Linked DNA regions of Astyanax mexicanus. The main gene of each other region encodes a partner of the protein of the gene in region 3 in a complex. Links are inferred from orthologs where the notes say so. Each region holds a gene or a part of one and is shown on either strand. Other genes may lie near its edges. The genes, in order: pigc, dpm2, piga and pigq.

Region 1 (6,856 bases), on a different chromosome or scaffold from region 3:
TACATAACTACATCAGAGAAATGCACTGGAACAGTCCATCCCCTGCATATGTGCCAATTGTTTATTTTTGTTTTCCATTCGGAACTTGTGCCAATAACGTTTGGTCGCTGTATTGAAACCCATAAAGGTTTATTTATACTACTCGTCGTGTTCTTCTTTACTTGTATTCTGTGCAGTTTTATGGTTCGGTTTGGTTTTGTCATGTATGTTGTCATTATATTTAGTTTAGCCCAAATACAAAAAATGATCAGCCAAAACTTTTGATGCCATAATGTTGCTGCCTTTTGCATTGTAATGTCAGGCCAGTGTAGCTAACAAGTAATATAAGCTTATAATCAGTTATCAGTGTACTGCATGAAAGGTTAAATTAACCACTACCATTGTTTTTAGCTAATGTACTTTTTAATAAATGCAGCATTGTGTAGCATTCAACCTTAAAATAACAGCTTCAAAATCATTCTGGTGAATCATTTATCTAGCATTGCTCCTGATGCTGATACCTGCACTATGTAACTTTGGTGAAGTGGCCAGAACACTATATAACTTGAGTCATAATTGTGTCAAATCCTGCAATATCCTGGTTCTGTATCTCTCAGTTCGGCAAGAAAAACCTGTTCTTTAGCTCTTGTGCAAAGAAGGAATTCCTGAAAGTAGGAGCACAAAGGCAAGAAATGCCAATTTTTCTATTGTCTTGCTTTAAAACACAGGACTGTTGTGCTATTATGTTTGGGTCCAGGATGACATGATTGTGTCACAATTTCTAATGAACACTTTCATAATGCTTATTTTCAATTCAAGCACAAAATGTACCTTTGGTTTCTGCAGCCAAGGAGTTCTATTCTGCTCACTAAAACATATCAAGCTTCATTAGGTAGTTCCTGAAAAAAAATCTTTGGGAAATTTGGGAAGAGGTTTCTCCTGGTAACTCATGAAGTCATATGCATGAAGGCTATATTTGAACTAGGAATTGCTGAACAGTAGAACAGAGCACTATCACTCCAGGGACTAGATATTTTGATGATCTTTAGCAGGAAAAGAGCCTTTCAGATTTGCTTGCCTTTTCTTAAATTCCACAAGCAGTTCTCTTAGAAATGTTATGTTTTTCAGTCCTCAACATTAGCTGCACTATTTCTGATAACTGTCATATCTTATTTACATTATGATTACAAAAAAACACTGTCACATCTTATTTACATTATGATTGCAAAAAACTGATTGTTAAGACAAGATTTTGAGATGTCAGGGTATTTAGAAAGTTGTGAAATGTTATGACTGGAACCAAGCTATAGTTTTTAACAAGTTATTAAAAGACCTTGGTAAAAAATTGATCTGAAAGCGTAACTCTGTTGGGGTGCCTAAACCCCCTTTTAAAATGTAAAAACAAATTTAAAAATGCACTTAACTTGCCTAGAATGTTGATAGAATGAGCCATTTTAACTTTTTTAAATAACTTTGTCCTAATTGAACTATTTATAGTAACATGCATTTTGGCCAGGGTCAAGGTTACCTTTGGAGACAGTAGAGATCCTGACTGGCTATTCTTAACACTATGGATTAGGGGCTTGTGTTGGGCTGGTCCAGGCACTAAGCCGATCAAGTGCTTGGCATATGGCTGTTCGTTTCTAGGGGCACAACTTTTTCAAAAACAGGATTAAAAAAGAGAAATGTGCCAAAGTTGCACTAGATGGTAAAGGCATTGTGTTTTTAAAACAAAATTGTTTTTAAGTGTTTCGCTATCTCTTTATTTTTAGCTAATAAGACCACCTACAGTGTGATATAAACTTGGGTAAACACTATTAAAATCTTTAAGACTAGAAATATGATAGACCGCAATATGATGTTTAGTGTTTTCAATCCTGGTGCTGGGGCACCCTGCCTAGCACATTTTAGGGAATTCCTTGCCTTTACAAACCCACAGTCACTCTGAAAAGACGTAACTCAAAATTAACTCATTAACAGAATCGGGTGTGCGGGGAGAAGAGAAACACTGTTCTGTTGCTTAAAAAAGATAATAGTGCACTTGAATAATTGTTGCCAAACAAGGCTGTATCCTGTGTCTGTGTTGTTTCCTAGACAGTGACTTGCAGATATGTAGGCTTACCAGTATCTGCATGCATATCTGAGATGTGCTTTAAAAGCACAAAGAAGTCATGTTATGTTGTATTAGCATTAGCCATTTCTATTTCTCTACCAATACAATTGTATTAAAAAGGTAAACTGTAAATATGTATATATATATATATATAGCTACATTACCTATTTCTTTTGAGAAATATTTTTATGAAAAAATGTCTTTTTGCAATAAATTGATATGATGTGCTCTCCATATTAAAACATTTTAAAAATGTGTCTTACTGAGTGCCCATCTATTGGGGCTCTTCTGCTCTTTCCATTAGAAAAAGATACTTTTATAATGTGCCTCCTATTCCACAACTACTAGATAGTGTACTGTATATACAGTAATTCAGTTTAAAATGTAAAACTCATATATTATATAGATGTTTTACACACAAAGTGATCTATTTTAAGCTTTTATTGTTGATGATTATGTCTTATAGCCAATGAAAACCCAAAAATCAGTGACTCAACTGGTACTCTATAAAAGTTGTCAGCAGAGGGAAGAATGAAGTGCTGTAAGATTTTGTACGAAAACGCTGCACTGACTTTAGACTTGATAATAAAACACAGTGGATCAACACCAGCAGATCACATGACTCCCCAAACCATCACTAATTGTGGAAACTTACACTAGTCCTCAAGCAGCTTGGACTGTGTCTCTCCACTCTTCCTCCAGACTCTGCTCCCTTGCTTTACAAATAAAATGTAAAATTTACTGATGATCAGTGACGGTTTGGAGAGTCATATTATCTGTAATATGTAAGTTTCACATTTTTTACTGAATTACTAAAATACAGTAACTTTTCAATGATATTCAAATTTTTTTAAGATTCACCTTTTAAGATGCTACCAAACTTTGCTGGAAATTGACCCTCCAGGCCTGGAGTTGTGCATTTCTGGGATTGACAGAATGTGTTGTTTCAGGCAGTCAAAAAATTGTCAATTTATGACCATAAAAAAGTCTCTGGGATAGTGTAATGTTGGTCAGCACGGGCGTTTGTAAGCTGGTGTATCAGAGCTGAGTCGCTGCACTTTCCTCTGAGTGTTCTGACTACCTATTGATTCTGCATCAGTGGCGGTTAGTAAAGAGGTAGTGTGTGACTTCACATGTTTCAGAAGACGCAGATGCTAGTTTTCACTCGACTGGTGTTTGGGAGCATTTACAGAGATAGGGAGTCCTAATGTGAGGGTCAAGAAGTCTGGGAAAACATGAGAGAGCTTGGTGTGAAGTTGGAGTTATATGAGAAATCTATGATGTATGTCATTTTTAAGGACAATGTGTCAAAAAAGTTACAAGAATTATATTGGTGAATTGTATGTGTGACAAATAGTAAGATTTGTGAGACAAGGTATTTGATTGTAATAAAACAAACACAAATACCTGCACAGGCTGTTTTTAAACAAATAAAGTGTCAATTAAAAAAGGAGGGGTAAAGATAAATATCCTTGGGACGCTTTAGAAATATGATGAGTATTTTAATTAATCATTTTTTAATGTGCTCTTTTTTCTCTCTCCCCGTGTAAAAGATCTCTGTAAACCATGCTATTGATTTATTTTTTTTTATTCTCAGTGTTGAAATGTGTTAAGTCTAATTTTACAGCGATACAACGTTCCTGTCAGTCCCTTTGGCAGTTATAGACATATCAAAATCTCATTTTGGTTTAACAAAGCCCTTCTCTGGATATAATCAGTTTTCTCACCTTGTTCACTACTTGTGTGTACTCCTCCAGCAGGGGGCGCAACCCCGCCCGCCCGGTCAGTCCGCTCTGGTGTTTTCAGCTTTCGTCACATCCGGCAGATCCAATGGCGAGATGTGAGCAGCGAGGAGGAAGCAGCTGATCCGGTACGAGTTTAATACCTCAGTTTATACAGTTTATCTCCTTACAGCAGTGCTCACACCTCTGTGTAACTGTGTAACTACTGCCTGAACACAGAGAGAGAGAAAAAGAGAGCTGTGCCAGCCTGTCCGCTGTGTGAGGACACGCTCAGACACAGTGAGAGATACAGAGTGCAGAACCGGTTATGTACTGAGTCTGACTCCTTTAAAACACTGAACAACGGGACGAGGAGGATTCTTTTTAGTGGTTTTCAGTATTTAAATGTGTTAATTAGCCCCTGAACACAGGGAAAAGGCTGAACTCTTGAGTCAGTAGACAGTCAGACTGTCAGTAATGTCTCCACCCTCTTCCTGTAGCTGTTGTTCCTCCTCCAGCTCTTTTCTTTTCATCACTGCTCCTCTTGACTGTCATTCTGTACCGTTATGATTAAAGCGGATTTGTATTTACAGGTTCAGCACTACTATTATTATGTTTTTTTTTATCCGAAATAGAACTACACACATAAAAACCGAAGGTTTGCTGTTGAGTATTGTAATGACTGATGGTGATACATGTCTGAACTCAGAGTGAAGCACTGGAACTAAAAGGACAGATCTCTGAAATTTTACTAGTAGAAACTCTCATTTCGGATATTAACTCTAAAATGTTTACTAGTAACAATATCCTATATACAGAACTATAAATACATTCTGACCAGACTTACTACCAGGATGATATATCCTTTATGTAATTTGGAGTAATACAAGTATGCATTTCAGACATTTTTATCATTATTTCTTATTATTTATGTTCTGACTAGTCTTAATATTATCTTAATATTTGTAAAACTAGATTTTTTACTAAATAACATGCCACAATTGATTATTTTTTTCAGTTACTGATCTGTGGATTGATACAGAAGTGTCTATATTGCTGTTTTTTTTTAAGTTGCCCTCCCCAAAATGAAGGATAAAAATGTTTTTTCTATGATTTTTCTATGCTCTGTCTTTTTGATTCAGAAGGAAATGATTAGAATAAAAATGTGTAGGATATAAACTACTTTTGTTGTCACACTTGATTCATTTTAAATTTCACTGTACAATCTGGCTATTTAATGTTAATACAAAGGCTGTATACAAATTTACTAGTCCATGCTAAATTCATGAATTCCTCTTTTTACATAAATGAGACGGCTTTTAAAAATATCAGAATTGGTAGATCAATGAAAGCTGTCTCATTACATCAAAATGAAAAGTGTGTTCAAACATTTCGACTCAATTAGAGAATTCTGAGTAGACATTTTGAGTTTTAACCTATTCTTTCTATTTATCAAGCTGCTAAAGTACTGTATGACTGTATAAGTCACCTTAAAAAGGAAAGTGTAAACTCACCAAATCAGAGAAAAAAAATCTGATTACTCAAATCACTTGAGGTGTTTCAAGATGCATTGAAGTGTAATATTCTCTCCAAGACAAATAAAACTCCTCCCAATATAACCAAAACACAAGTAATAATTGCTGCGTAAACTTTTTAGTTGGATGTAATCTAGCCATAGTCATTTGAGGTCACCAGGTGAAAACAGGGTCTATGTTTTCTAGTAAATTCACATGGTGTATTATAGCTTCATAATCCATATGTCATTTTGCAGGCGATGGGCGCAGACAGTGGTCCGGGTGCTCCCCCAGCAGTCCCGTGGCGTAAAGTGCTGTATGAGCGTCAGCCCTACCCTGACAACTATGTGGACCGCCGCTTCTTGGAGGAACTGCAGCGCAACATCGGTGTCCACCAGTACCGCTACTGGGCTGTGGTGCAGGAAGCAGGCCTGGTCGCTCAGCAGGTCTCCTGTGTAGCCGTTTTTCTCACATTATGGTTCTACATGGATCAAGGAGACCTGGGACCCTCCACCCTGCTCTGGGCCAGTCTTGGGTGTGCACTTCTGGGTTATGGGCTCTATGAGGCTTTGGGAGGAGGCAGTGGAGAGCGTACACGCATGGCAGACCTGCAGAGCGCAGCCATCTTCTTGGCCTTTACCTATGGCTTTTCTCCTGTGCTGAAGACGTTGACTGAATCCGTGAGCACAGACACTGTTTATGCCATGTCATCCATGATGCTGCTGGCCCACCTGGTGTCCTTCCCGTACACACAGCCCAGCCCCCCAGGCAGTCTGTCCCTGAACGCAGCGCTGTTTGGCTCTGTGTGTTTGGCCTCACGGCTGCCTGGGGCCCTGCACACCTTCGCCATGCTGAGCTGTGCCCTCCTGGTGTTTGCTCTGTGGCCCTGCCTGCTCCATCGCCTCAGGGACCGGGCTGAGTGGAGCTTTCCCCTGGCTGCAGGCCTGGTGTGCACAGCTGGGGTCGGAGGTTTGGCAAGCCTTTGGCCAGGAGGAGCTCTTCTCCTTCTTTTAGCTCTGCTAGTGCTAACTTTAGCCTGTCCGATGCTGCTCGTGCATCTTCAGAGACACAAAGACAACATCCACGGCCCGTGGGATGAAGCAGAGATCAGAGAGGACCTCTCACGATTTTTAAGCTAACACAAACACATGTAATAGTACTATGGACCTCTTTTATACTGAAAAATTGTTAACTGTACACTGGTGAGTGTTGAGGGCTATGACAGCTGCTTATATCAGATGTTCAGCACTTTAACATAAAGGCTCAGGGAAAACTTGTGCCTACACTGACCACTCCTTTTTTAAGACTCCATCTGCTAAATGTCTAAAACTGTAAACAACGTGCACATAATCATGAACAGTATTTTTAAAATATTTAACTCTTACTAAAATACCTGGTAAAATGATTACATTTTGTTATAGTTATTTATTTGATGTGTAATAAGTCATGAAAAAAAATATGATGGTAAACAAAATTTTTGTGCTTTTATGAATTAAAACACTTTGTCATACTAATGTAAAGTTTCTGAA
Region 2 (7,983 bases), on a different chromosome or scaffold from region 3:
TAATCGTTACATGGTCTGTCCTGTGGCTGAGGTTGCTGTGGTCACTGGGTTTTCAATGCTAGGGTATGGTGTCCTGTTGTTTATAGAGATGCAGTGTTGCCAGGGCCCTCTTACAAATCACTGGTGATTTCATCAGCCTCTTACATACTGCTGCACAGCCTGCTGGGAGGAGTCTATAGGAACGATCAGCAAGCTTCAGAGAAGAGCTGGGTTTAAATTTAATGTCCAGTCTTGGGCAGCTGAGAGATTTCATCACTGGACAACCTCAGTCCACTTTCTTTGGTTTACGATTCTTCCACGTTACTACTCCTATGAAGGTGCCTGTGGATAAAAATAAATGGAATAAAATCCACTGAAAAAGCAAATACTGGCAATTATGTCAAATAAAAAAACATTTATTGTGCATCCCTAACTACGATTATTCTAGCAATTAACCAACTATTTATATTAGTATTATTTTTAAACAAATAAGCTTAACATTTAAAGGGCTTTACAAGTTGGTAAACAACAATGAATTAGGATTAGAAACAAACACTTCATAGTAAAAAAAGACAGGAAGATACATTTAGATAAATAACACTTAACAGTGAATGGATTTTTCAATGTAAAACATAAAAATACATTAATGAAATTAAAAAGAATGAGAATCAAATCTGATTACTAAATGATGGTTTTAAATTAAGTTTAAAATTAATTGTGTTGTAGTTTTTGATGAAAACTTTTGCAAAAGAGAAGTTTAAAAAACAGTATTTATTTGTAGCACCAAAAAGAAGTAGTCTTTTTGCTCAGGTGCAATTAAAAATGTTTACATGCACATAATAATCAAATAATAATATGATAACTTGCTATTAAGAAAATAATTGATAAATAAATCAACGTGTTTACAATCCCTGCAAGAACCTAATAATGAGAAAACTCAAGAGTCTATTTTTGATTTATTATTTATTACAAGAAAACATTTTTATTGTGTAATTAAACTTTTAATTTATCTATAAAGAAATGTATTTTTCTTTACTTACCGACACAGAGTAAAAGAATCAGTGCTGCTACTCCTGGAAGTATGACCGAGTACTCACGAGGAAGAAAGTAACTGTGGATCACATGATCACTGTCTACGAATGGCTGCAGAGAGAGCAGAAGAGATCTGGTTAGTTTTTATGTTGTGACAGATGTCTGTTTGTATCATTATTTGGGTTCAGGATCATTCATTCTTAGTACTGCAGTAAAACTGGCATGGTGGTGGTGTATGAGGTGTTTGTGTGTGTTGTGCTGGTACGAGTGGATCAAAAACAGTTGTGCTGCTGGAGTTTTTAAACATCGCAGTGTCAATGCTGAACTCAGAATAATGATGACCAACACAAACTGTGCAGCAAGAGATTCAGAGCTTCTGTCTCTGACTTTACTTTAATTTATCTACGAGGTTGAGGAGCTACAGTAGGTAGGAGTGTCTAATAGAGTGGAGGACAGTGAGTGAAGAACAGTGTTTAAAAACTCCAGCAGCATTGCTAGGTCTGATCCATACACACAAAATAAGTGGACCTATCGCAGCAATTTTCGAAGGAAATCACTGCAGTCAGTGCGGAATCATAATACTTTGATAAATATACAGGTACAGTGCTGTTTTGTGCCATATTGCCCATCCCTACTCTAATTTCAGGGATGTAGCTACGTCATATATTTTTCAGGCATTAGGGAACACCTACTAAAATGAGTGAGACTCACTGAACTTCCATTATTAGTGGGTCCCCTGCTACTCTCTGCTACTTCTTCCACTAAGCACAATTTCTAATCAGTACCCGTTACTTTCACTTTAGTACAGTTTCTGTGTTAGAACTGAGAGAAGGTAGATAGGATTTGTTTTACTTACCAGCACTATAACCCATAGGGTGTAATATGTGAACAATAATAGACTGAAGCCAACGAGACCCAAACCCACAGCTTGGTCTGCTCCGGTCGCCTTTTCAGAGGAAAAGAGAAGTTTTAATCAACACTAATCAACAGTTACCCTAAATACAGGTAGTTTCATCCTTAGGCTGAAGCATTAAATGCTGTAAGATTTCGTGGGAAAACACTGCACTGACTTTGGACTTTATAATAAAACACAGTGGATCAACACCAGCAGATGACACGTCTCTCCAAACCATCACTGATTGGTGGAAACTTCACACTAGACCTCAAGCAGTTTGGACTGTGTGTCTCTCCACTCTTCCTCCAGACTCTGCTCCTTTGATTTACAAATGAAATGTAAAATTTACTGATGATCAGTGATGGTTTGGAAAGACATGTCATCTGCTGGTGTTGATCCACTGTGTTTTATTATCAAGTCTAAAGTCAGTGCAGTTTTGTTTTCCCAGAAAATCTTACAGCGCTTCATGCTTCCCTCTGCTGACAACTTTTATAGAGATGAGGATTTTATTTTCCAGCAGGACTTGGCACACTGCCCACACTGTAGCCAAAAGTAAGCCATAATCATCAACAATAAAATAAATAAACAATTAAAATAAATCACTCTGTGTTTAATACATCTATATAATATATGAGTTTCACATTCTTAACTGAATTACTGAAATAAAGTAACTTATTTTTAATGATATTCTATTTTTTTAGATGCACTAGTCAGTCAATGATCCTGCTTGTATACCTCAGAATGAGGGGCATAAACACACAAGCATGAGCTCAGTATATCGCAGTACACTAATATACATATCTCATACACTAATAAAAGGTTTATTTTCCAATTAAACGATATTTAAACCAACAATAACTAAAAAAAACAGATAAACACAGTCTAACAGTTATTTAGCTAAAGCTAGCTAACGCTAACTGAGCTCTCAGTGAACTTAATCGGCCCTAAAACTAATTTAAACCTATTTTTAAACGATTTAAAGGCCAGGAAGCGCAAATATATGACCAATTATCATGAATAACTTCATATAATAAATATATTACACTATAATAACAGGATAATCTTCTACAAATCTTCATCTTTCAGCTTACCATCACGAACTCGTCACTCTGCAACGCGTTCTTCCGTTTGCGTCAGGCGTTTTCGGTGTACGTATAACAGGCATTATGGGAAATGTAGTTTATTTGAAATGAGATTTGAAATGACAAAAATACGCCCTCACCACGAGAGGGAGACAACACCGACCCATCGCAATACATCACTGTTCACCTAATACACTTAAACGATTACACTTAAAATACACTTAAACTATTACATTTACAGTACAACAGTACTGCTGTTCTTTTTTCTATTGAGTTTAATTTGAACTAAAGTGCTTTTTTATTTTCTCTTCTTATCAATGTCTTTTTACTGCATTTCTTTGCCTGTCAGACCCTTAATTCTTCTCCTCACTGCTGAAACCGAGACTTAGTCCAATGTCAAGATGAGCTAAAATCGTTGCCATGTGGGTCAGCCAGACCTTTTCCTGTACCAGACTTTTTTCCAGTTTCCAAGAGTCTTTTGAAGGTGTAGGAAACGGTACTCACCGTTGTCATCTGTAATTTCTGTGTGTTCTGTTTCTTTTTCTAGTTATTATGATAAAAATGTGAATGTGCTGAGTGTAAGTGTGTAAATGCTGCAGTACAGAGTACAGTAACACCATATGTTCCAGCACTGCTTTACTTCAGACAAAAGGCTTTGGAAATTGATATTTAAAAAAAAAAAATTAAGCTCAGGTAATTTTCATTGCTACTTACTTAGTTGTAAGCTGTTAACCAATGATTTGTTTGCTAAAAGTCACCCCTGCTATATATATATATATATATATATATATATATATATATATATATATATATATATATATATATATATATATATATGCATTTTTTCCTGTTTTTATCATAAATATATAGGCTCTGACCGTTTACTGCAAAATTTTGTACACTAGAAGGCAGAAAAGAGCCGCCCCTACCTGAAGCTCAATCGACCTACAGCTGATCATGCATTGTAAGCAACAGATCTCGCTTTGATGAGCTTGAATCTACATCATACATTCAATATATATTTCTCAGAAATTCACATTCACAAAAAAAAAAATTAAGACACACTTCAATAACGCTGAAGTGATATTCCAGTTGTATGGAGGGATAGTAAAAAAAAGACACAACAGTGATTTTAGGATGCCCCACATTTGCTTTATTTCCCCAAAAATATGACATTAATACACCTCCAAATACACATTTACATTACAGAATACGAAACATTCATATTTGAGTGTAGAAATATAGTTTAGATCCATCATGAGACATACAGTCATACACCAAATAAAACCGAATGTGAGGTCAAGAAAACTTTGGAAATTATTTGTGTGATCATAAAATAGAAATATTCAAATAATTCTTTATATAATCAGAAAAATAAACTCATCACTTTTGTGGTAAAGTTAAATATAGATACTGCGTTTTCATAGAAATCTGTAATCTTTCAATATATCGATCATTTGTTAATTGTAACCAGTATAGTGGTCAAAAAATGGAGTCTTTCTGTCTGACCCAAGTGCATAGCGTTTGAATCTTTTACAAAATGAGAGAGAAAGAAGACAAACAGCATTAGTTGTGGAGGATTTAGCAGGTTTTTGTTTCTTTAAAGTTAGTATTTAAGTGCCGTTGTGGTGAAAGATATCTTTATTCGTTGGCCGATGATTCTACTCTGGAGATCACAGTGTAGTTTAACATTACGTGTAGAATTAATACTCTCAATCAAAAATGCTGAAAACACACCACGTTAGAGGAGAATTCCTCAGAAACAACGTAAATCAGAGTGAATTACACAATGGCCTTCAAGCGTTCTTACTCTTTTATAATGTAAGATGTAGCAAATCACACAAATACCCCTTATTCCCCCTCATTCGTCCCAATACTCAGTACTTGTCTTCCCACAACAGCATCTTAAATCACGTTTACAGAACGACGTTTGTGAGTGAAAAGAAAGATCAGTCACAGGTTACAGTCCATCACGACTGATACAAGAGGCTCATTTTTTTTTGTAATACAGGAAAATAAAACAAGACAAATAAAATAACAACATTAGCCTCTTTAAGTAGCAAATACATTGATCATTTTCATGCTGTCACAAAGTTTATTAAACATTAAAGACTTACCAGAGAGCGATCTGATAAGAAACAAACACTGTATGTGGAGAAAGTCTAAAATAAACCAGCCTGCTGGTTTGGAAATCCCAAAAAACAGGACAGTGTTAGCGTTAGCATTAGCGATAGCATTAGCATATCGCTCATATTGTTAGCAAGGAGGGCAGTACGAAGAAAGATAGTGAACAGACTGTCTGTCAGAGCACAGACAACAAGAAAGGGTGTGATTATTTTAAATAAAGTCTTTTGATTTAGATTCCCTTGATACTAGTGTAGTAGCCTAAAAACTACAAAAGAAAAAAAAACCTTGTTCACTCAGTGTTCACCCAGATAAGACACTAATTCGATAAATGCAAGCTTAGTGAGATAATAATGTAAGGCAGAGTGAGGCACAATCTAACTCAGGGTAAACTGTAAAATGGATTTTTATGTAGATGAACACATTTAAGCAGAACATTTACTTTTTAGTCTTATTGAATTTCATAATAATGTAATTTGTGAATTAGCTTTAGTACCATAATAGTAGTGTATATTGTGTATTCATACTAATCCCTCAGTTTGGGGGTTACGGTTGGTTACACACACTTGTCTCATGGAGAGTAATTTATTCATTTAAGCTGTAAGCATGGTATTGTTGGTATTGTAGTGGTTTAGGAAGTGTGCTACAGTAACTGTAGTCTTGTTTGCCTCTCTCTCTCTCTCTCTCTCTCTCTCTGCTGTGTAAAAAGAGAGCAACCTACAGTTGTGGTCAAAAGTTTACATACACTTGTAAAAAAACATAATGTTATGGCTGTCTTGAGTTTTCAATAAGTTCTACAACTCTTATTTTTCTGTGATAGAGTGATCGGAACACATACATGTTTGTCACAAAAAACAGTCATAAAATTTGGTTCTTTCATAAATTTATTATGGGTCTGCTGAAAATGTCACCAAATCTGCTGGGTCAAAAATATACATACAGCAACATTAGTATTTGGTTACATGTCCCTTGGCCATTTTCACGGCAACTAGGCGCTTTTGGTAGCCATCCACAAGCTCCTGGCAAGCTTCAGGTCGAATGTTTGACCACTCTTCTTGACAGAATTGGTGCAGTTCAGCTAAATGTGATGGTTTTCTTGCATGAACCCGTTTCTTTAGCACTGTCCACATGTTCTCAATGGGGTTTAAGTCAGGACTTTGGGAAGGCCATTCTAAAACCTTAATTCTAGCCTGGTTTAGCCATTCCTTTACCACTTTTGATGTGTGTTTTGGGTCATTGTCTTGTTGGAACACCCAACTGCGCCCAAGACCCAACCTTCGGGCTGATGGTTTTAAGTTTTCCTGCAGAATTTGGAGGTAATCCTCCTTCTTCATTATCCCATTTACTTTCTGCAAAGAACCAGTTCCACTGGCAGCAAAACATCCCCAGAGCATAATACTACCACCACCATGCTTGACAGTAGGCATGGTGTTCCTGGGATTAAAGGCCTCACCTTTTCTCCTCCAAACATATTGCTGGGTGTTGTGGCCAAACAGCTCAATTTTTGTTTCGTCTGACCAGAGAACTTTCCTCCAGAAGGTTTTATCTTTGTCCATGTGATCAGCAGCAAACTTCAGCCGAGTCTTAAGGTGCCTTTTCTGGAGCAAGGGCTTCTTTCTTGCACGGCAGCCTCTCAGTCCATGGCGATGTAAAACACGCTTGACTGTGGAGACTGACACCTGTGTTCCATCAGCTTCCAAATCCTTGCAGACCTGCTTCTTGGTGATTCTTGGTTGACTCTTGACCATCCTGACCAATCTCCTCTCGGCAGCATGTGATAGCTTGCGTTTTCTTCCTGATCGTGGCAGTGACACAACTGTTCCATGCACTTTATACTTGCGTATAATTGTCTGCACAGTTGCTCTTGGGACCTGTAGCTGCTTTGAAATGGCTCCAAGTGACTTCCCTGACTTGTTCAAGTCAATAATTCGCTTTTTCAGATCCACACTGAGTTCCTTTGACTTTCCCATTGTAGCTTTTGTAGCTGAGTCTAATCACTGGGTCAAATGAGCCCTATTTAAATGGGCTCATGAGAAGTCAACAGCTGTAGTCAATCAGAATCACTTACAAGAAGTGAAGAGGCCATGACATGAAGCTAATTTGATTGACACAACTCGCTACATCACCAAAATTGACAAATTTTGTTGCTGTATGTATATTTTTGACCCAGCAGATTTGGTGACATTTTCAGCAGACCCATAATAAATTTATGAAAGAACCAAATTTTATGACTGTTTTTTGTGACAAACATGTATGTGTTCCGATCACTCTATCACAGAAAAATAAGAGTTGTAGAACTTATTGAAAACTCAAGACAGCCATAACATTATGTTTTTTTACAAGTGTATGTAAACTTTTGACCACAACTGTATATGCTACTTTTTTAAATCACTCTTTACCTTTATCACTTACTGTTCTCAGCTTTGGATTTTTAAAATTATTGAAAATAAACAAGATATTCTGGCTTTAACATCTAAGTTCAGCTTGTGGTGGTATGCTATAGTTTAAGTTTTACACACTTTACTGCCGAATTAATACAATACAGGCTGTATTATCTAACTCAACAAGGTATCATATGGAACTAGGTTAACTAAATGTACCCTAAAAATCTGTGTGTTCAAATTAAATGAAAATAAATGTTGGTTATTCTTTACTTTTTGTCTTTTTTTCCCTTGTTAGATTCTTGTACTTTTAACAAACCTTAAGGTCCAAACTGTAGTGCATTACATCCCCAATACCAATAATTTTTTTTTATGCTGTGCCCCACTCTCCCATATTAATTTATTATAACAAATAACAGAATTACAGGCACCCTTTGCTTTAAAAGGAAAAACGACAATACTTCGTTTTAGTCTTATTATCACTGATAAT
Region 3 (6,983 bases):
CTGGTGTACGACACACACACGATGTGATTGGTGTCACACAGCGTTACAGTCAGCAGTTTGTTGGTTAGCACTGAGCTCAGATCAGCGAACCCGAAGAGCGAGTGATCAGTGAACACCGTGTTGAGGCCCATGGTCTTGGCGTGGAACAAAGCATCATGGGCCATGGCCGAGAAGGAGCTGTGGGCGTGTACCACAGTGATGTGCTCGCGTACGAACACACACCTGAGCAGAGGTAAGCTGTGGAAGCAGGAGGTGGCTGTGGACTGGTTATACATCACCTACAGAAAAGAGAGAAACAGAGGACAGTCACTTTCATTTTAGGGTTTTTTTTTATCCTTAAAAGAAAATAAATTCACCTTAACATATTCACACACATTTCTTACACACACTATATATGGCCAAAAGACAAAAAAAAAAAAACAACAACTATGGAGTGAATTTAGTGTCAAACGTTTTACGCAAAAAATTAAATTCGCAATAAAAATTTGAGAATCAAAAGAAAAAAGAAAAAAAAGTGTATGTTGCAAATTCAAAAAATAAAAAAAATTAGCAAATATATATTTTTTTAAATATACTTGGTTACTTAATTATTCTTTGCACTTATTTTCACTTATATTTAAGTTTGGATTTTGCCAGTCTTTGCTCTTATTTTTTATGTTTTTGTGGATTTTCTGCGGATTTTACCCTTGAATCTCCATTGGTTGGTCTCAGACTAGGGTATAGAGTCCAAAATCAGATGACCAATGGAGATTCAAGGGTAACGCCTTCTTCTAAGCCCCGCCCACCCGTGAAAACTGTGCCTAATCTAAAAAAAAGAAATGCAGAAAATGAAGCAGAAGCAAAAGAGAGATTCCAGGATAAAAAGTCTTTAGCAGCAGTATATTTTAGCAGCAACTATATTTAAAAATATATATTTGCTATATTCTTTTTTTTTGCATTAAACTTTTGGCACAAAATTCACTTCATTAAATACCTGCTTATTCATTTCTCCTTTCAAAAAATCAAATTAATATGGGAGGTTTTATACCCCTCTACCCCTTACCTGAAATAAGGAATAGTGATAATAGCATTATATTTGTCTAGAAGAGTCGTATTTAATTGGCAATGCTTCACTACTAAAGGGATTAGATAAACTGTGAGTTTGTACATCTCTGTCAAAAATAGGTGCAATTTAAAGTATCAGGATGCATTCTTTAGAGTGGGTGACATATATTATATATATATATTGTACAATATAAATACTAATATGTCCTCAGCTTCACTGAAGCTCAGCCACACACCTGCAGTGGGAGGTAATAGACCTTCAGGCCGTTGGTGAGGTAGCGAACTCCACGCCGGTCTCCGTACGCATGCGTAGCGATCACCACCTTGTGCCCCCTCTCTAAGAGACACTGTGAGAGCTGGTAGATGTGGCTCTCGACTCCGCCCATGTTGGGGTAGAAGAAGTCAGACACCATACAGATACTGTGCTTCTTCTGGGAGGAACGTCTGGCCGTGCCGGAGGGCAGCAGACTGGCAGGACTGTGTGGGGCGGGAGGATGAGCGTCAGGCTGGCAGGAAGCAGCCGCCTGTTTATCTCCTCTTCTTCTTCTTGACTTCATGTTCACATCCAGTTTAGACCTACAAAAAAAAAAAAATGGCGATAATTTAAGCAAGGCGATACACTGTGATTGATTAAATACATTTATTTAATGCATCGTAGTTCAAAAAACGACCTATTATATTTATAAAATCTAAAAAAAAAAAAAAGTTTATTTTTTTAGTCCAATAAAAACAGTGGGATCTAATGAGTAAAAAAAATCTCAATATTTCAATATATCAATTGTTTTATACACCTCTAATAATTAAATATTAAAATATGTACTGTCATTTACTCATTTAATTTTCTCTACTCAATCTGTAGTTCAGAACACTGGATATTAATTGGATAGTAATTGAGAGTAATTGATACTCATGATATCCTTTGCAAAAATATATACATAGTAAATCTGACTTTAATCCGGTAGCAATGTCAAACGTGGCTTTTGTGTGACAGTGAAAAATATAGTATTACAAATTGCAATACTTTGAAAAATTGGAAATATTTGCATTTAAGAATACATAACTATATACTTTAACATGCTTAAATGTCATTTAAAAAAGCACAGTTGTGTTGACTACATTTCTTGAATGTTTTAAAAATATATACTAATTGCATCCTGTTACTACACTACTAAACTAGATACACCGATCAAATATAACATTATGGCCATCTCTTTGTTTCTACACCTATGATATTTATATTTTTTTTTATATATTATTCACCAATACCAGAATGATAAGATTTTTTAACATAATATAAAAGTTTACTTAAAAAACGCTATAGGCTGTAAATATTGCATAGTCGTTTAGACTTATTCATTTAACTTTAGCTTTTTAGCATATTCTCCTCCACCAGTCTTACACACTGCTTTTGGAGAACTTTATGTCACTTGTGCAAAAAATCAGTTTGTAATATATTATATCATTTATATAACAGTAATTTTGAATCAGAAGATGAAATACCTGTTTATTGTAAATCCATATAGAGTTAATCCTGTCAGTCAGATTTCCTGTTTCTGTAATATAGCTTTACTTAACCCCCCAAATCAAACAGGAATAACTATTATATTCATATTCATACAACTGAACTCCGGGTGAAAAGAATATTATAAATTAAAATGTATGTAAAGAGTGAGTTTTATAGTTTAATCAATAGGTTAATATTAAGATTTACAGAGTAAGTTAGAGTTAGCTGTGTTGAGCTAACAGCTCGATGGCTATGATATGTATAATATAAATACCTGCAGTCAGACTCCGGCAGCTAAACAGTTGATATCACAGCCTCTGTGTGAAAGTTTAATAAAGTACAGCTTCATATCTACCTGTTTTATTAAGAGACAGACTGAAATAACTACATATTTCTGTTATAAATCACAGAACTCTTGAGTTAGCACATCTGCTACTGAGCCAGTACACAGTCTTCTTCGACTGCTGCCGGTCTCCAGCAGCACAAAACTGCACACCGCCACCTACCGACCGCACTGAGCTACCACTGCCCATAGACATCATATACAAAGACCACGCGTTGATTGGCCGCCATATTGGATGGGTCATTCATGCGCCCCAGAAAAATAATTTTCTCACTAAGGAAAGTGTTTTTCCCGATTTCCACACGGTTTGATTTGTTACAAACAGCAGAGATGTAGCAATGATACAGGACGCTGTATAAACGAATTCATTTAATATTTTAATGAAGAAACACGTTTTATATAGTTAATGTGTGTATATACGTATATATAAATATAAAATTAATTATTTATACACTTGTTAATATGCCATATCACATGTATACAGAGTTGCGATTATTATAGTTGTATTAAACACCTTCCTCAGTGTAAATTAATGCACTGGGTCGCGTGGTTGACTCCTCCAATATGGCGGCCACGCTACACGCCAGGAGGAGGGTACGGCGCGAGACCGGGCTCCAGCTCTCGTATGTCATAATAAAGGTCCTCCGTAATTAAAAGGCTCGTGGATGTCATAAAATTTAAATTATAATAAAATGTCATCTTAAAAATGAAGAAAGTTACCTACCGACTTGTTTAGTATATTCCTTTAATAGAATATATGAGGTATTTCCCTAAAAACGCAAAGAAAACTTACCTGTATGTCTTCAGTAAATGAGTTAGCTAGGTAGTAAAATAAAATCTAAAATTTAAAAAAAGTAGGAGACATTTGAGAGTTCAGCATTGGTAAACATTTTATTGCACAAAGTTTACAATTCCCCTTTACAGTATATTTAAACTCTGTAAACAGTGTTGAGCAGTGTCTCGCCAGCATATAAAGGGTGAAAACAAGCCTCGATTAAAACCTGTACGCCTTTAAACAGAATATCAGATGAGTTTCTACTTCAGCAGTTTGTGCACGGTTAGTGTTCATATAAAACTACATCTATACACTGTAATTCGTTCTTCAAAGCACAGAGCAGCATTAAATACAGTGGATCAGCCAGGAACTGTGAGAACATATCAAAAATACATTTTAAATACAGCGTGTTCAATCTCCAGACTCATCGTTTTATCCGTGAATTCAGGTGCATCCATTACCAGGGTTAAAATATTTATAAATACTGTTCTCATCATGATCATGATGAATGCCATAACTCTTTTACTTTACATCAAACATTCTTTCCAGATAAACTGTAACAAATATGTTTACATTAGAAGTTGTTCTTTCATATGTTTGCCTTTGGAGTCTCCTGATAAAAAATTATTTGTGCTAACAAGATCATGTGTTTTTAATGACATTGTGGATTGTGCTGGTCATTTATCATTAAAAGTTACTCATAAATCCAGACATCTGCACTGTGAAAAAATGTACCCTACATTTAAGGACATTGTCTAATTTAACAGTAGAGAACTAACTTTAGTAGTGTCCAGATTGCCTGCACTGAAGGCACAGGTCTCTTAAACAAAGACCACATGCATTCAGGGGCATTTAATATATGTATATGTTTATATAGCTACATATATAAACTAGTGTGGTAGAGTGGTACAGTATTTGGCAAACACACAAGGAAGCTCAGAAGATTAAAGCTTTAGCTTCAGTACTTTAGCGTCAGTTCTATCAGGGAGAATCACACTGGAAGTGGAGATCTGTGCAAGCGCAGCAGCCAGAACAAGCTTAAAAAATGAAGAAATGATCACTGCCTTTTCCTGTTCTTGCTGCAAATGAAAATGTTAAAATTACGCAAATTATCAACAGAGGTTCCACCATGTAAGACGACCCAATACCACGTCCTTAACCACACCTTTACCCACTCTCTCTTTACTCAATACAGTTAAATTCAAGTTTTTATCCAATAAAAATAACACTTTCTAAACATTTTGAGCTACAGGTGCAAAAAAAGGATGCACACTCAAGTCCGACGTAAACAACTTTCATCCTTAAATCTCCATTTCAATGCAAAGATGAACACAGAAAAATAAAGAAAACACATGGTACAGTTCAGTTTTTCAGTATGTCTGTGCTTCATGTTGATATTGCTGTATTGTGTAATAGAACTTGGGGAAATAGTGAAACGTCAGGTGTTTTTACAGGCTCATTTCCCCTCATTTCACCTTCATCTTCTCCAGTCGTTTGGTTAAGTGGCTGTTACTCGACTTCAACTCCTCAATCTTATCCAGAGCAGACCGGAGCTGTCGTTTACAAAAAAAGGTACAGCAACATATTAGTGTCTTTTAGAAATTAGAATTTATTTCAGCAGTACTGATCTAGTCACACATACCTCAACAGTGCAATTTTAGGAATAGATTTACCTCAGTAGTGCTATTCTAATCATACATTTAGTGCTACTCATGGGAGTGAAATTTATTCAGAGAAAGGCAGCCAGACTTTTTTTCTTTTGCCATTTTCAGCTTTTTCTTTTATTATGTATTTGGTGCATGCACAGCCATTATGGTAACATTAGGGTACTTGTGTTTTCAGTTTCTGAGTTTTGGCACAGTTTTCACAGGTGGGCAGAGTTTAAAAGAAAGCGTTCCCCTTGAATCTTCATTGGTAGGTCTCAGACAAGGGTTCAGGTACCAGTCAGTCCAAAATCAGGTAACCAATGAAAATTCAAGGGAAACGCCTTCTTCTAAGCCCCACCCACCCGTAAAAACTGTGCCAAAACTCAAGAATAAAAAAATGAAGCAGAAGCAAACGAGATTACAGAAGTAAAAGTCTTTATCAGCAAAATCAACAGAAAATCCACAAAAATTAGGTACAGACTGTCAAAATTCAAACTGAAATAATTTATAAAATAACTGCAAGAGAGAACTTTTGATTTTACCAAATTAAAAACCTCTGGAATATAATCAAAAGGAAGATGGATGATCACAAGCCATCAAACCACCAAACTGAACTGCTTGAATTTTTTGCACCAGGAGTAAAGCAGCATAAAGTTATCCAAAAGCAGTGTGTAAGACTGGTGGAGGAGAACATGATGCCAAGATGCATGAAAAAAAAAACTGTGATTAAAAACCAGGGTTATTCCAGCAAATATTGATTTCTGAACTCTTAAAACTTTATGAATATGAACTTGTTGTTTTCTTTGCATTATTTGAGGTCTGAAAGCTCTGCATCTTTTTCATTATTTCTTTGTTATTTCAGCCATTTCTCATTTTCTACAGATAATACAATATTTGTATTTGGAATTTCCATCATGACAAATAAACATACTCAAGTAAAAAAAAAAATCCTCCATCATACCTCTCTCTGCAGTTTGCGTTTCTCAGCTTTAAGCTCGTCCTCCACTTTCTCTGCGTTCTCTGCTGCAGATTTGTATCGAGAGACCTGTCCTTCCAGTCTTGTGGCCTGATATTAGAGATTTTAGAGAGATTTTAACATTTAACTCTATTTAAGCGCTTTAGCACAAATAAACATTGAGAAAATTGAGAGGAAGTTCTTACATTCTGTTCCAGAGCTGTGACTTCCTGTTCAGACTTCACTAGCTTAAATTTCAGATCAGTGATCTGCCTGTTGGCTTCTCCTGCAAAAGAACACAATTCATTAATGATAACTTATCAATGATCAATGTATAGATAACAAAAAGCCTTTACAGTGTTAATTTACAAGTTTAAATACTTTGTAAATCCATGACGTTATTGTCTGTGCCGTTTTCCATCGTCTCTCCCTCGAGCCTGGAGACATCCTCTGTGTCCAGCACCATTTTTTTCTGTTCAAGTTGTCCTTTAAGTCTCTTCACCTGAACAAAAAGACATTTTTACCACTATTAATATTATTTTTATTATTACTACTTGTTCTTTAATTCATTGTTATGCTATAAACTACATATCGTCGCTGTCCAATAATAAGAATAATCTTCATTTTTGTCCATTTTTTTAGTTTACTACATAATTTGAACAGAGAAACAGCCCTTTACACTGTGCCAAAATTTCTTGATGAACGGACCAATAGAA
Region 4 (7,452 bases), on a different chromosome or scaffold from region 3:
AAATAGTTATCAAGTAGTTACCTGAAAAAATTGTCATTACACCTCTAAAATCTACACTTTAAACCAGGCTCACCTGAAGCTACACAGCCAGTGCCACACAGACAGCAGCCAGGTGAGAACTATGCAGACTGGGACGGAGGCTTGCTTCACCAGCTCCACGATGATGCTGGCCTCCCTGCCCTCCGACTGCCAGTGCGTGAGTTTCAGCGGCCCCTCGTCGTACATATCGTGAAAAAACAGGGGCTCGCTCTGAGCCACAGTCTGAAACATGGTCCTCAGTTCTGTAGACTCTTCCTCAGAGCCTTTCTGTTCCTGTACAGGATGGAGCTGCGACAGCATGACCTTCCTCTGATCGTAATGAACGAAGATGATTTTATCTTTATCATCATCATCATCATCATTATCATCACCGTCCTTTTTAGCCGCGGGTTTCCCATTCTCCTGCACCACCCGGCAGGTGAAGGCCCTCTTCCCGCTCTCACGGCTCAGCTGAAGCCAGCGGGAATGAGGGAAGATGGTGCTGAGGTCCTTCAAGAAGCTGTCCATCCCCTCCTGGCCATCTTTGGGCATGCTCCACGAACCCAGAACGGTCAGGTCCACCTTGGTCTGGCTCCTCATCTGAGTCAGATACTTCTTCACCTGGCCCGGTATGAAGGGGTAATGGATCACGGCAAGAACAACAGCCGAGTCCTGGCCCGGAATCCAGCGGCCCACCAGCAGACCACTGTCCGCAGTGTTGCAGCACTTGGGGAAAAAGATCTTCAGCACCATGGCTGATCCTTCAAAATACCTCCGGGAGGAAAAATGAGAACTCCTGTCAATCAGACACACAAAATTCAAAGATTTATTAGAAGTAAAGGATAGTTAAGGATGCTACACTTCTCAATAGTATAAAAGAGAGAAAAAACTTTCACCTTAACTGAGAAGAAATTCAGAAGATTCAGGAGGTAAAAAAAAAACCCTACAATAATTAACTAAATTCCCTAGTAAACATCAATCCATGTGTGAAAATGATGATCTCATGCTCCCTGAACTCTGCACTCTTTCACAATTCCAGCACCGTGTATCCTGGCATTGTTATCTTGGAATATGGCCGTGCTCATCAGGGAAGAAAAAATAAATCCGTTGATGGAATAACCTGGTCTATATTCAGTATATTCAGGTAGTCAGCTGACCTTATTCCTTCAGCACATACTGTTGCTGAACCTAGACCTGCAGACCAACTGCAGCATCAACCCCAGATAATTTACTTTTTTTCCATTACAGAGATCACGAAACTTTTAGTTTGAGTTTACAAGTAAAAACTAGATTATGGTTTGTGAAAATTTAGTCTAGAAGAAAAGATGCATTACAAATATTGCAAATATCTAGAAATTTAGTTTTTATAGTAAAGAATAGAGTTACTTATTGTATATATCCTGTTATTTTAGACAAAAACAGATGCACACACACTTACCCAGCTTGTGGTGAAACTCCCAGAGCTGTGGACTAGATGAAGCTCAGTCCAGCTGCTGTGCTTTTGCCCTTCATACAGAATATCGACCCTCAGCAGCTCAGATACACACAGAGCCTCAGGCACCACTGACCCACATTCAGCACCACACACACACACAGCCAGCTAACAGCCTCACACACAGCCAGCTACCAGCCTCACACAGCTTACTATAAGCTATAAACTACAGGGGGGTCATTTATAACACATTAATATCTCACTACAGCCTCTATAACACCACACACAGCCCTCAGCAGCAGCAACAACCAGCCAAAATCCCCATATTACAGCTACAGCTAAACCCCAGCTCGTTAGCTTAGCCTGTTTACACCCACTTTAATCCGCATTATTCAGCTCTCCCAACCACTCCTCTGGTTCACCACCCCCCTGTTCCAAACCCCTAAACACAGATGTTTAAGCACGCATCGTTATTTGCACCATAAATACAAGTTTTATACTCTAAATAAACAGAAACACACTAGGCTAGCTATCTTAGCTAAAGTCACAGCCACCGACGGACCCCCCGCATTAACCCACCGGGCTCAAACACTGAAGCTTAGATAATTCGTTCCGACCAAATAATTACTCGCTTGAATTATAATTTAATAAATAAAATAGATAGATTTGGATCACAACTTGAAATAGAATTAGATATTGACACGAATATATGTTTTGCTACGCTATTGTAGGACAAATCAATGTAGATAAATTACTAGGTTTAAATTTTTTGTGTTTATTTATTAGGAGTTAATGGCAAATCCAGGTGCATGAAATTATTTTTAAAGACTAAAAAAAAGCATTTAGCATATAGCTAAATTATTAAAAATTTAAAGAGTATAACAATATTTCAGGGTGTTTTTGCAATAACGAGATTCTTGTTTTTTAAACAAAAAATAATTGAATATAAAAAATAATATTTCAAGAATATAATATAACAATTAAACTAATATGTGTATATCAATATTTATAAATATTCAGTAGAAACAAATGTTCCAACCAAAATTCACAAATTTTGCACAAAACTAAAATGCAGCATATATAGTGTGTATATTTAATATGAACTGAAAAACAATTAAGTAAATAGTAAAACTAATTGAAAACAGATCCAACTGAGTTGTATTTTAATTTTTTTTTATTTTATTTTTACCACAGTTAAGCAAAAACTACTATATAACTAACAGGTTTTCTTGTCTTGTAAATTCCCTTAATACATTTCAATAACAATAAATACTATATAACCTTCAATTTTAGCTATGAAACAATTTTCTCATTATTTTAACTATGTTACCCTAGTAAACTATCACATAAGCAAAATTAAACAGTTTTGTTGTTATTTTCTACTTACCTTTATTTTCAGTGTAGAACTCCAGTGTTTCAGCTCTTCAGGATCTCCTCACAGACAGAACTGCCTATTTGAGCTGATAACAACCTTCAGAAAGATAACACCACACATTTTGGAGGGAACTGGGTTCAGTTAGTGAGTTAGTTAGTAAGTTAGAGGCATGGCTAAGTACGGTTGGTGTGTGTGAGTTTTTTAGCCTTCTTTGAGTTGACTGAGCTTGAGGTGAAGCTGTTTTTACTGTAAACACTGTCCAACTGTGGAGATTTCACCTCCCTCCCCCAAAACAAAATGACCTGCAGCTTCAGGTAGCATTTTTAAAAGCAGATAAAAATGTATTTTTCTTAATTTATTAATTTATTATGGCAAATATATTAATATCCAATTTATATCCTTCTTCTTTCTTGTATTTATAGCATCTTAACGTCATTTCAGCCCCAGACTGTTTTGTCTGTGCAGTTTGGCCTTGCATACTTAGTTTTTCATTATTTTACTTTTTTTTTTAACCATAGAAATAAAGGGTGTGTCACACTGACCTCAGTACATTAGTAACACCCAAACAACCACAAATCACACGGGGTACCATAGCATCCACTTGATAACATGCTAGCTTCCACCTGAGATACTTTTTTACAACACCTTGTCAACCACCTGAAATACCACAGCAAGTACACTAGCAACCACCTGGTATACCACAGCAACAACCCTATTAACCACCTGGTATACCACAGCAACTACCCTTAATATAATAATAAAATCATATACAGCTCTGGAAAAAATAAGAGACCACTTAAGTGTCTGAATCAGTTTCTCTGATTTTGATTTATGTTTGAGTAAAATAAACATTGTTGTTTTATTCTATAAATTACAGACAACATTTCTCCCAAATTCCAAATAAAAATATTCTCATTTAGAGCATTTATTTGCAGAAAATGAGAAAAGGCTGAAATAACAAAAAAAGTTGTAGAGCTTTCAGATCTTTAATATTGCAAAAAGAAAGTTCAGAAATCATATTTGGTGGAATAACCCTGGTTTTTCACACCCACAGTTTCATGTATCTCGGTTTGTTCTCCTCCACCAGTCTTACACACTGCTTTTGGATAACTTTATGCCACTCATAAGTTTTAAATGGTCCCTTTTTTTCCAGAGCTATATATATATATATATATATATATATATATATATTCTTAATTTAATTATGTTTGCCCACACTTAAGCCTGTTTTTGTTAAGTTTTATTTAATGTCATTTATTATTATTAAGAACTAAGTCTTTATTTGTGTGTCTAATTTAATTAATACATTTTTTAATATGCAGATCAGCCTGTAAAACTGGACATGAATAGGATTTATTAGTGTCTGTAAAATCCTATTCAGTGTTTAATGCAGTGTCAGCAGACTGTTTCTACATAATAAGCACTGATATTATCAGCTTGTGTCCAGGCGTGGTGATTCAGTTAACTCACCCTGCCTCAGTTATACAGTTTAAACAGCTGCTGGACTGCACAGATAAGAGCATCTCTTAACAGTTTTTCCTTTTTATTAAATATATGTATTGTAGTTGTCCAGTAGGTGGCAGTATTTAATAGGAATTGTGAAGAGTTGAGCCACTGTGTGCCAAACACTGATATTACCCATCTGTTTCAGGTCATTATCATGTGTGAATGTGTGTAAGGACAACAGAGTTCATTTTTCTTAAATTATTATATTTTTTTATATGTTATATATTTTAATATAAATATACAGTCCCAATCAAAAGTGTGGACATCTTTTTCAATGTTTTTTCCTACATTGTAAGTGAATACAGAACTAATCCAAACTGTGAAGGAACACATAAGGAATCATGTAGTAACTTAAAAGTCTTAAACAGTTCTCTTATTTCGGGAGCTGTTAACTTGTGGTTTCTGAGACTGGTAACTCTGATGAACAGAGAAAACTCTTGATCTTCCTTTTCTGGAGCAGTCCTGATGAGTGCCAGTTTCATCATAATGCTTTTAATAGTCTTTGTAGTGCACTTTTAATGTTCTTTAGATTTTTCTTTACTTACTTGAGTAGGTCTTGCCATAATCTGGATTAGAACACTACTCAAAAATAGTTATTCACTTTACAACTTTTTCAAAAAGTTTAAAAGTTGCCCTAAAGTTTAAAGTAAAATAAAATTAGTATTTTCTTTTTACTTCAACTCGTGACTATTTGGCTTTGGAACTACATAATACATGTAGTTTCAGTTTCAATTCAAGTTTAAAACACAAATAAAATTTTGTAAAATTGCTGTTTGTATTTATTGTAAGGCCATAATGTGTTTTACTAAGCTAATAAACACTTACTGCACAGATAAGAAGCTTTTTTCCCTGAAATTCCCACAGGTGCCTAAAACTTTTGCACAGTACTGTATGTCCTATAAATCCCATTATTCTAAATGCTCTGCAGCTTCATCATATAAAAGACATGTAAAAGTGTGTCACATTGACAGCACTGCTCATCAACTGCAGCCATAATAAACGTGATGATTTCATGGATTTAACGCCGCAGCTGTTTAAACCCAAAGTCACGTGACGACTGATGGGAAAACTTTACTGTCAGCTTCCTGTGTAGTGATAAACTGTTACTCACTACTCCCTAAGCAGTGTTATTTTTATATTTTTATAAAAATAACTAAATTAATCTCATTTGTAACTCAGCCCACTTGTTATCTACTCCAGGTGTTCCTTGTCTGTGTATTTATACCCCATTTTCTTTGATAATGGGTTATAATGTGTGCTCTTTGTATAAAACTGGGACATATTTATTCCTTTACTTGTTTGATCCTCTGTTATCTGTTCTGTTTTTTGTTAGGAGTTTTGTAGTATATAGTTTTTTATATAGTCTTGTTGTTTATTTTCAGTATAGAAATTAATAAAGTCAATTTGCATTCGTTCTTCACTTTTGAAGCATTTTTGAAGCATTAAGCAGAACAGGCTTCGCCATGGTCAACCAAAGAAGTGTGAAAGGTGCATGAAAGGAAAAAACTAAAGTGAAAATATAAAGTGATTTATGTGGAAAAATGTAATTTCTTGTCTAGTGTAAAGTTTTAGAAAATTAAAAAAATTAATTAATAGTAATAAAATCAAATTGTTTTTATCTTTTGAGGCCCAAAATAAAGAGTATTCTGACCCTAAAACAATATTCAATAGGGAAGCACCGAATACACTTCTACAGTCATCACTATTCATAGAATATACTATATAATAGAAAGTGTATAATGTATTTTACTGTAAATATACAAACCTCCTGCACATCCTGAATGACTGATTCAGACCAATCAGACTAAATTCTCCCGGATCTTCCTACAGTACTCAGTAACTGTATCGATAACCTGGAATCCAGGCCAGTTCTGAATCATTAATAAAGCTCATACTGATCAGCAGCAGCCGTTTCCTCCAAAGCTGATTCTTAGCAGGAAAGAGATAATGCAGGTGAGCAGTGAGGTGAACTGAAAGTGATGGGACTGTTTCCAAGCAGCAAGACGTGTTAGAGGAAAATACACACATACCACACACACACACACACACACACTGTGTGTTTACACACGCTGTGTTGTGGTTTCAGGATGAAGCCACTACAGATCACGTGACTTGTGAGAATCCCTCTGAATGTCAGAGAGATACTTATCAGAACAGCCGTCTTACTGAGCATGCGCATTTTTATATATACTGTATATTATATAGTTGAATATATGTTAAAATAAATAATGTATATTATATACTGACTTTTATTTAGTAGTTTACATACAGTATATTAAAATGTACATTAGAAAAAATATAAAATAATATACAGCTCTGGAAAAAATGAAGAATCCATTTCAGTTTTTGAATCAGTTTCTCTGATTTTGCTATTTATAGGTTTATGTTTGAGTAAAATTAACATTGCTGTTTTATTCTATAAACTACAGACAACATTTCTCACAAATTCCAAAAGAAAAAATATTGTCACAACAAAAAAGATGCAGAACTTTCAGACCTCAAATAATGCAAAGAAAACAAGTTCATATTCATTAAGTTTTAATAGTTCAGAAATCAATATTTGGTGGAATAACCCTGGTTTTAATCACAGTTTTTATGCATCTTGGCATCGTGTTCTCCTCCACCAGTCTTACACACTGCTTTTGGATAACTTTATGCTGCTTTACTCCTGGTGCAAAAATTCAAACAGTTCAGTTTGGTTTGATGGCTTGTGATCATCCATCTTCCTCTTGATTATATTCCAGAGGTTTTCAATTTGTTAAAATCAAAGAAACTCATTTTTTTTTCAGAGCTGCATGTATATTAAATAGTAATTTATATAAAGTGGAGCATATACTAGATATAAATATATTATATACTACATATTATATAGTAGTTTATACATAGTGAAGTATCTACTAGAAAATAAATAATATATACATAATTATATCCTCAAAACAAACTTGGCACATGTAATGAATGATAAATATAACAGAAAAATATAAAACCTAACATACTCAGTTGACCATCAATTCTGCACACACAACATTTATTCATTTCTATTTTTCATTTCAATATGTTAAAATAAGCAAATAAACTATATAATGTTTTTTTTCTATTTTAAATCATGTGTAGAATTTTT

The links.
Region 1: piga (region 3) and pigc share a complex: the UniProt entries of both Homo sapiens proteins name them as parts of the glycosylphosphatidylinositol-N-acetylglucosaminyltransferase (GPI-GnT) complex. The link is inferred for Astyanax mexicanus from reciprocal best matches to the Homo sapiens genes PIGA and PIGC.
Region 2: piga (region 3) and dpm2 share a complex: the UniProt entries of both Homo sapiens proteins name them as parts of the glycosylphosphatidylinositol-N-acetylglucosaminyltransferase (GPI-GnT) complex. The link is inferred for Astyanax mexicanus from reciprocal best matches to the Homo sapiens genes PIGA and DPM2.
Region 4: piga (region 3) and pigq share a complex: the UniProt entries of both Homo sapiens proteins name them as parts of the glycosylphosphatidylinositol-N-acetylglucosaminyltransferase (GPI-GnT) complex. The link is inferred for Astyanax mexicanus from reciprocal best matches to the Homo sapiens genes PIGA and PIGQ.

What each region holds. Positions count from the first base shown.
Region 1 is NC_064408.1:62,449,264-62,456,119, forward strand, and holds pigc (phosphatidylinositol N-acetylglucosaminyltransferase subunit C), read left to right. Parts: upstream 1-3,852; 5' UTR 3,853-3,962; intron 3,963-5,584; 5' UTR 5,585-5,587; coding exon 5,588-6,466; 3' UTR 6,467-6,841; downstream 6,842-6,856. UniProt on the Homo sapiens protein: Part of the glycosylphosphatidylinositol-N-acetylglucosaminyltransferase (GPI-GnT) complex that catalyzes the transfer of N-acetylglucosamine from UDP-N-acetylglucosamine to phosphatidylinositol and participates in the first step of GPI biosynthesis.
Region 2 is NC_064408.1:13,683,430-13,691,412, reverse strand, and holds the start of dpm2 (dolichol phosphate-mannose biosynthesis regulatory protein), read right to left. Parts: upstream 3,010-7,983; 5' UTR 3,001-3,009; coding exon of another isoform or gene 2,998-3,000; 5' UTR 2,986-2,997; coding exon 2,950-2,985; intron 1,958-2,949; coding exon 1,868-1,957; intron 1,123-1,867; coding exon 1,020-1,122; intron 322-1,019; coding exon 266-321; 3' UTR 1-265. UniProt on the Homo sapiens protein: Regulates the biosynthesis of dolichol phosphate-mannose. Regulatory subunit of the dolichol-phosphate mannose (DPM) synthase complex; essential for the ER localization and stable expression of DPM1.
Region 3 is NC_064418.1:1,992,297-1,999,279, reverse strand, and holds the start of piga (phosphatidylinositol N-acetylglucosaminyltransferase subunit A), read right to left. Parts: upstream 3,024-6,983; 5' UTR 2,823-3,023; intron 1,621-2,822; 5' UTR 1,602-1,620; coding exon 1,281-1,601; intron 279-1,280; coding exon 1-278. UniProt on the Homo sapiens protein: Catalytic subunit of the glycosylphosphatidylinositol-N-acetylglucosaminyltransferase (GPI-GnT) complex that catalyzes the transfer of N-acetylglucosamine from UDP-N-acetylglucosamine to phosphatidylinositol and participates in the first step of GPI biosynthesis.
Region 4 is NC_064426.1:4,414,441-4,421,892, forward strand, and holds the start of pigq (phosphatidylinositol N-acetylglucosaminyltransferase subunit Q), read right to left. Parts: upstream 3,016-7,452; 5' UTR 2,838-3,015; intron 2,039-2,837; exon of another isoform or gene 1,457-2,038; intron 815-1,456; 5' UTR 772-814; coding exon 74-771; intron 1-73. UniProt on the Homo sapiens protein: Part of the glycosylphosphatidylinositol-N-acetylglucosaminyltransferase (GPI-GnT) complex that catalyzes the transfer of N-acetylglucosamine from UDP-N-acetylglucosamine to phosphatidylinositol and participates in the first step of GPI biosynthesis.